2 linked regions of the Nothobranchius furzeri genome follow. The protein of the gene in region 2 interacts with the protein of the main gene of each other region in a pairwise test. Links are inferred from orthologs where the notes say so. Each region holds a gene or a part of one and is shown on either strand. Other genes may lie near its edges. The genes, in order: crmp1 and vimentin.

Evidence for each region.
Region 1: the proteins of vimentin (region 2) and crmp1 interact in binary tests that used the Homo sapiens proteins (3 or more experiments, as listed by UniProt). The link is inferred for Nothobranchius furzeri from reciprocal best matches to the Homo sapiens genes VIM and CRMP1.

What each region holds. Positions count from the first base shown.
Region 1 is NC_091747.1:78,393,186-78,397,004, forward strand, and holds part of crmp1 (dihydropyrimidinase-related protein 1), read right to left. Parts: coding exon 3,683-3,819; intron 3,575-3,682; coding exon 3,410-3,574; intron 3,025-3,409; coding exon 2,963-3,024; intron 2,865-2,962; coding exon 2,784-2,864; intron 1,551-2,783; coding exon 1,482-1,550; intron 1,388-1,481; coding exon 1,267-1,387; intron 1,177-1,266; coding exon 1,020-1,176; intron 1-1,019.
Region 2 is NC_091751.1:47,676,735-47,681,122, forward strand, and holds the start of vimentin, read left to right. Parts: upstream 1-1,569; 5' UTR 1,570-1,717; coding exon 1,718-2,247; intron 2,248-2,425; coding exon 2,426-2,486; intron 2,487-4,388. UniProt on the Homo sapiens protein: Vimentins are class-III intermediate filaments found in various non-epithelial cells, especially mesenchymal cells. Vimentin is attached to the nucleus, endoplasmic reticulum, and mitochondria, either laterally or terminally.

The sequences.
Region 1 (3,819 bases), on a different chromosome or scaffold from region 2:
CTGCAGAGCAAAAGGAAAAGCTCGATCTGAAACTTTAAAATCCATCCATAAACCTGACGGATGTGAAAGACACCCTGCAGATCTGGTTTGTGTAAAAATATGAAAAATTGAGGTTTTAGCCTTAACTCGGCAGAATCGAGCTTTAAACATGTGCAAGTCATGAAATCTGGCCCCTCGTTCAGCGGGAGTTGAGGAGGGGAGGTCATAACAGATGTGTTGTCCTTCGCTGCAGAGGTCAAACTACCTTCAAACGTCCACTTTCACTTTTCCTCCGTTTGTCCTTTTCACTGATCAGATTTTTATTCTGCATCACACTAGTAGTGATGGGAATTCCGGCTCTTTTTAGAGAGCCGGTTCTTTCGGCTCCCAAGTGGCTCCTCAGATTTTCTGTTGCGTAGAGTACATTTATAACCAAAATAATGCTAGAAATCTCCACTTTCCGACTGCTGGCGCTCATTTTCTCACCGTCTTCGTCGCACTCTCCTCCCTTTCGCTCGCCTTTTTCCTCCTCCTCATTCCCTCTCGTCTCCCTCCTCCCACGTGTGCTCTGCTGTGTGTCTGAGTCTGATCCTCCCTCTTCCCCGCCCCTACTGCTCTGTGTGTGGACAGTCTGGACACGCAGTTACACATGTTGACCAATCGCCTGTAGCTTTCACCAAGGCAGGGGGGGAGGGGGGAGGGGAGGGGACGGCTCCCGTCGTTCACTTCAAAGAGCCGGCTCTTAGAGGCGGTTCGTTCACGACCGACACATCACTACACACTAGCTGCTGTGTGTGGTATGAATATAATGTATGTATAAAAGTAAACAGATCCCTGCTGGTGTCTCCTATCCTGTCACTTAGGTAATTTCCTCATAACTATGTATGTTCTGGGGTTAAAGTTCAATTAAGCGCTGTGGGTTGTGTTCACAAAGAATTCATCTAAAAATGTGATTTATGTTTTAAATGCTTCTACTGTACCGTGTAAGAAGTTGTTTTTTTGTACGTTGTTATGAAACATGAAGAAACCTCGAGCGTTACCAGGCCAGCAGCGTGTGAAGGTGATCCAGGGTTGTGGGATCAGGACTCAGAGGTGGAGAGGTCACATAAGCTGCTGCCTTGGCCCAGTTTTTGCTCCAATAGTGAGAGCCGTCCGTGGCCAGGCTAGCTGTGATTGGCTCCCCAAAAACCACAGAGCCTGTGTGGAGGGACAGTTGGACAGATTCTGATGAAAATAACTGAGAAATAAGAGCGATGAAGTTAAGTGGAAGAAGAGGTCAGGGTTCACCTTTCCTCCGGGCCTGAGCGATGGTGTCGGCTGCACTCTTGCTCATCACCTTCGTGATGTAGACAGGACAGTTGACACGGTTTCCGAGAGTGATGGCACGGAAAACCGCTTCAGCCTCCAGCTGTGTGAAAAAAGGAATAAAACAAGAAGGTCATTAAAAATAAAATTGTATTTTTATGATATTAAGCTGCAGAGGGGAGTGTGATTAAAGTCACCTCTTCAGGGTGACTCAGAGGGTGCCCTTCAGGGCCTGTGATTCCCATTCCGAGGATTTTTCTCTGCTCCTAAAACAAACATTTTAGAATTAATCTACAGTCATTTTCAGCATCGTACAGCATGATGTAGTGCAGTGGTTTTCAGTTTCTGACCCACAAAATGACAATGTGACCCTAAGTCCTGCCCTATAATTTTCAATTCAATTCAATTCAAGTTTATTTATGTAGCGCCAAATCACGACAAGAGTCATCTCAAGGCACTTCACATAATAAACATTCTAATTCAGGTCAGTTCATTAAGCCAATCAGAAATAATGTTTCCTATATAAGGAACCCAGCAAATTGCATCAAGTCACTGACTAGTGTCAGTGACTATACAGCAATCCTCATACTAAGCAAGCATGTAGCGACAGTGGAGAGGAAAACTCCCTTTTAACAGGAAGAAACCTCCAGAGAATCCTGGCTCAGTATAAGCAGCCATCCTCCACGACTCACTGGGGATCGAGAAGACAGAGCAGACACACACACACACACACGCACGCACGCACACACACACACACACACACACACACACACACACACACACACACACACACACACACACGCACGCACACACACACACACACACACACACACACACACACACACACACACACACACACACACACAAACAAAAAACGGAAGTACTCTAATTTTTTGTTCTTTTTTAGCTTTTACAACAGTGGTGCTGAACAGGGTTTACTTTAAACTCTGGAGATCCTCGGATAACCTCGATATTATCGAGGTAATGAGTCCTGACCCCAGCTTTAGGAACCACTGTAGATGTGTGATTTGTTCAAGGCAAACAGAAAATCTCACATTGTGTCAGTCAAGAAAGATTGTACTTGTGACATGTTTCTGCCCAGTGAGCACCGTCTCCACTGGATAACCGGGCTTTTCCATCTCCATCTCCCTACTTCACCACTAACTCATTATTAGTCATCAGTGTTCAGATCATTATTAATTATCCTGATTTATTCTCACACTCATCTATATTTTTGACATATTAATATCCTTTAATCTCAACAGTCTTTGCCATGACCAGATCTGACACTTGTTGTCGCCGCTGCCTCTGTCCTCACCATTCTCCATCTTAATCACCATCACATCATCATCATCATTAATAAAACAGGTGCACGGTTATGTGCTCTGGGTCTGCGGCAGCAACATTAATCTTCAGTCGGTCTATTTGAGAGATGGCGAGTTGTGTAATGAGAAGATTTCTCAGCTGCTGTGCAGCTTGAGGAGAGATTTAAAGCTTACCTTTGCTACCAGGTCTCCGTTTTCAGCGTGAACCAACACCACGGCACCCAGCTCCTTCAGGAAAGAGAGAGCCGCGTACAGCTGCAACGGTAGAAGAAGATGTAGCGTTAGAGGACCACAGAGTGGATGATTCATGGGGAAAACAGTGATGTGAGGGAGATTTTTATACTAGTGCCAACCTCAGAGTCTGTCATCTGATAAAGGTCATTGTAGGCCATGAACACTTGGAAGGAGTTGACACCTGAAAATGGGAAAATGATGATAGGGTGCCGTCAGAGGCAAGACTCACTGAGACAGTTTAAATGGAAGGTAATGTCTAGTGCATGTCTGTCACTGACGCTTGAGCCAAGTTGCACAGCCCAGCCCAGCTGCAGAAAAAGGCCTCACAAGCAGCAGCTTGGTCTGGTAATTTTCTTCGTTTTGTTTACTTTACTTTAAAAAAGATTACATGCAAATGTTGTGCTCTGCTGCCGCAGCAGCATTATGGTGACAATAGATGTCCTCTGAGTCATGACTGTAAGAGGATTCAGCACTAAAGTGTCTAAATCTCTCACTTGTGTTCCCTAGATAGGTCTCCAACGCACATTTCTGAAATGTTACAGCACTAAAAACAAAAAGATACGTACCTTTATCCTGCACCAGCATTTCCAGCTCATCTTTAACGGTTTCATTCCACTTGGGGATGTCTACATGAAGAGAGTAGTCACAGCAAGCCTTTTTATCTGCAGCCTCCTGCCAGCGCTCAAACGCCTCCAGCAGGCTGCCCTCTGGCTGAGGGGTCACATGATCAACTGAAAGGTCCAAAAAAAGAGAAACGACTCAGCCACGTTTTGGAACCGTGGTGTGCATGATTGCTGCATCTGGAATGAGCTGCAGATGCTTCAGGTGTTTTCACTCACTGATCATGGTGGTGCCTCCAGCAAGAGCTGCCTTGGTGCCCTGCAGGAAGTCGTCAACAGGCTGCGTGTCGAGATACGGCTTCATCAGGCATGTGTTAACGTCGATCCCCCCGGGAATTATCATGCGGCCGTTGGCC
Region 2 (4,388 bases):
GTTTGTTATAAGCTGAAGAATTGATTCATCAAAACGGCATCAGACAATTCATGCCGTGCCTATGTACCTATTCCTGGAGACCCTGTTTGGATCTGAGATGTCAAAGAGTCATTGATCCCACTGCACATGGCTCGTAGGAAAACTTCGATGCGACCAAGTCAGTCCTAGGATGCCTCCGGGTCGTGAAAAACAGGGGGACTCGTTTGCGTCTAGAACGGTTGGACTCTTAAGGAGTCGGAACTGTCAGCGTTGTTCTGCAGGAACCGTGTGCTGTGTCAGCTGCAGCGTGCAACAGGTGTGACAGCTTGTCAAGAGATGCGGTGGTTAAAGAGTTTTCCTCTGGTGGCCAGTCCGGAGTTCGGCTCAAAACTAATTGAATTACTCAGCAAGTGATTCTGTTTTAACAATTGCCATATTATGATTACATGGCCAACCAGAATTTGACATGTAAAGGGGTTTTACCAACCAACCTCAGATACACACCTCCCTCAGATACAGTAGCTCTGATTTGTGGATCAGAAAGCAATGTGTCATGAGATTACTTTAGTCATATGTATGAGTGTGTGCTTGTCAAGTCACGTACGTTGATTAAATATATGGGTCATATATTTCATTTCATCCTTATTAATCTAAGCACAGATTAAACAAAACATTTCATTTAACCACATTGTTTATTTCATTATGTGATTAATTAACTCATATGAGCTGAAAGTGTTCACTTTTATTCAGAGGCAGGAGGAATCCTGTAGAAGCGATAAGAGAAAGCTTAAGGCCTTGAAACGGGAACAGTTTTGTTTACAATATGTTATCCATGTGTTCAAAGCTGCAGAGGCCTGAACTTCAGCTGATAAAATAGCAGAATTCAGCAGATTAAAGACACTAGATGTAGACTCATGTCTCCATCTGACTGGATACTGAAGAGGTCAAACTGTGGATGAAAAACTGACCATTTCTGGACGTTACAATGGAAAACAAAAGATTTTTGGATATAGAAAATGCGACTGATTTTTAGCGGTCTCTTGTTTACTGTGGCAATGTGGGTTCTGGTATCAAGGGACTTGGCTTGGGGATGATAGCCAAGGGAGGGGTGAGCACTCCGTGACCATGTTTGTGTTTAAATTCTAGTTTGTTTTAGAGATTTGTTATTGCAGGTTTAAAGTGACAGAGCTCTCAAATGGCTCATTCTGGAAGGTACTGAAAATGTAAAGAATAATAGTAATCACTCCTTGTGAGAGAACATTATAAACCTGTTTTGTATTGACCACAGATCTATTATAACTATAAGTTAAAAAGTAATAATATGTCCCTTTATTGAGTTATTTTCCACTTATAAGGTATTTTTCAAAACTTTATTTAAATGTATTGAAATGTTAACCTCACCCACAAAACGCCTGTTAACTTTAATAGATTTTATTTAGAAGCTTAGACTCACCACTTCATATATCAAGTAATTGAGAAAAAGGGAGATTTTTTTTCCATCCAAAAGAGCTTTGTGACCTTTCTCAGTTTTGTTGTGCACCTTAGAAGGCATCTGGCCTCAGAAAGCCAAGTGTGTGTTCTGATCTAGGATTGGAGTCTGGGGGTGTCAGTCAAGTTCTACTTGGCGCTTTTTGCAGGAGGAGGGGGCTATAAATAAGTTCTGGAGAGGGAAACGCCTTTCTAGGGCACCGCTGATGCTGCAGAGGTGAGGTGGACACTCTCAACAGAACCCAGTAAGATGTCCTACAGACCAGCTCCTCATTCTTCCTACAAAAAGATGTTCGGAGGGGACCGAGCCACGGCCCGGACCAGCTACTCCAGCCGCCAGTTCTCCAGCCCGCTGCGCTCCTCTCGGGTCTCCTACGGGCTCTCCTCCGCTCCGACCACCGTTTACGCAATGAAGACGCAGAGGCTCCGGAGCAGCGCGGCCATGCCACGGCTGGCCTCCGAGAACCTGGACTTCTCCCTGTCCGACGCCATCAACAGCGAGTTCATGACGAACCGCACCAACGAGAAGGCGCAGATGCAGTCGCTCAACGACCGCTTCGCCAACTACATCGAGAAGGTGCGCTTCTTGGAGCAGCAGAACAAGATCCTGCTGGCGGAGCTGGAGCAGCTGCGGGGCAAAGGCACGTCCCGGGTCGGGGATCTCTACGAGGACGAGATGCGGGAGCTGCGGCGTCAGGTGGACCAGCTCACCAACGAGAAGGCCCGGGTGGAGGTCCACCGGGACAATCTGGCGGATGACATAGAGAGGCTGAGAGAGAAGTAGGCGTGGCACATGTGGCCATGATTTCCTTATTGTTATTATTCATTTCTGCAGCTGTTCAGATGAGTAAGAAGTAAAATCAAAGAAGACAAAACTGAAAAGAAGAAGCATGGAAGAAAGCTCCTGCTTATGCTAAATATAAAATAACAGCTTTCTCTGTGTTCTCCCCTCCTGCAGGCTGCAGGATGAAATCTCCCAGAGGGAAGAGGCAGAGGCAAACATGCAAAGTTTTAGACAGGTATGAGATAGAATGATGACTTCAGCTAGCTAAAAAATGTTTCTGTTTTGTTGCAAAATTGCTCAGCTTTAATCAATCAATCAATCAATCAATTAATCAATCAATCAATCAATCAATCAATCAATCAATCAATCAATCAATCAATCAATCAATCAATCAATCAATCAATCTTTATTTATATAGCAACTGCCTTTGCAGGAGGCCAATACGCTGAGCATATAATACACTTAAAACATGAAGTGTAAAAGCAGCATAAAAGCATTAAACCAAGTCACATAAAAGCCAAAGGATACAAATTAGTCTTCAAATGACTCTTAAAATCCTGTAATGATGGTTTAATATCAAATGGAAGCTCATTCCAAAAGAAGGAACCAAGACCAAGAAAGCCCGAACTCCTCTAGATCTGTACCTAGTATTTGGGACTGTCATGTGAGGGAGGAGATGGCAGACAATGTGTGGTGGAGAGTTCAGGAGGCAGGAGAGCAGGCACAGATGAAATAAAAATGGATTTAATAGTAAACGGGAGCGACAGGACAAAACGAGCACATGCACATACAATGATCCGACGAAGACTGGTACAAGGAGGGAGATATAAATACACAGGGAAATCAGGAAGAGCAGAGTAATGAGGGACAGGTGAGAACAATAAGGACTAATCAGGGCAGGAGAAAGACACAGTCAGGAAGGCAGGGGCAGAACATGACAGGGACAGTCAGTAGCGTAGAATTTGTGATGGGGTGTCTTTTTATTAGTTCTGCCAAATATGGTGGAGCATCACCATAAAAAGACCAGAAGATATAGCAGAGAACTTTAAACTTTGCCCGAAAATCTACAGGGAGCCAATGTAATGAGGCCAGCACAGGAGTGATGTGTGCCGACTTCCCTGTCAGAAATCTGGCTACAGAGTTGTGAACCAACTGCCCCCAGCTTCTCATAACTTTGACCCAAAATCCCCAAATCGATGACGCAAACCTCCAACTGTGCAGTGGAGTGCATCCCTTTTCTCTTTTAGGTAATCTGTCTAGTTTTGGCTCATGAGCCACAGAGGCAGGAATGCACCGCTCTGATGACACAACAGCAGGTTCCAGACATGATTCCGAACAGTTAAAGAGTGCCCTGGCCTGGCTGGTACAAAAGGCCAAGTTTGCTCTGCTCGATTGGAGTCTGACTGGTCTGATGTGGTTATCAGAGCGAGAAGACGGGCCACCGCGTGATCCGGCTGTCTCGTTCACATAAGAATTTCTCTTGTTATGGTTCTGTTCCCTGTCACTGGTTTTCCAGTTGATAGGTCATGTGAATAGAGTTATATGGCGGTTACTGTACACAAATAGGTCAAAAACATCACTTTGGTGAATAACTTAAACACATAAATACACATTTTGTTGATTTTATGTTTTTTCGGTGCAGATTTGGGCTTAAATCAGGTTGTTGTATGGCAGGAAGGAATTGCATGAGTGGTCTGCCTCCGTGGCAAACAGACAACAATGTTTGGCCAGCAGCCGGCTCCTGCTCAGTCAGGCAGACAGTCACTCTTCCAGCCTTTGGGCATGTTTTGGAACCCCTGCTGAATGGTCCACATTGTTTGTGGCATTAACACATGGGCAAAGCAGCTTCTGTTGCTGATACCTCAATCAACGGCCTGCCAACGCCCCGATGAAGCTGTGCACTGGCACAACAACAGGTTTGTTTCATTATGGGTTCTGTCTTCCAAAACAAAAGCTTCGTGCTTAATTAAGTGGAGGAATGAAATAATGACTAAACATTCCATCACTGTTGGAATTTTTAATTTCATTCAGAGAAACTAGAAGGAAATTTCACAATAAACATAAATTTAGCTTATAAATGGGCTTAAGGACCTTTTTAATTATGTGGTTTGAATGAGACCCTTTACTGAATAAAAAA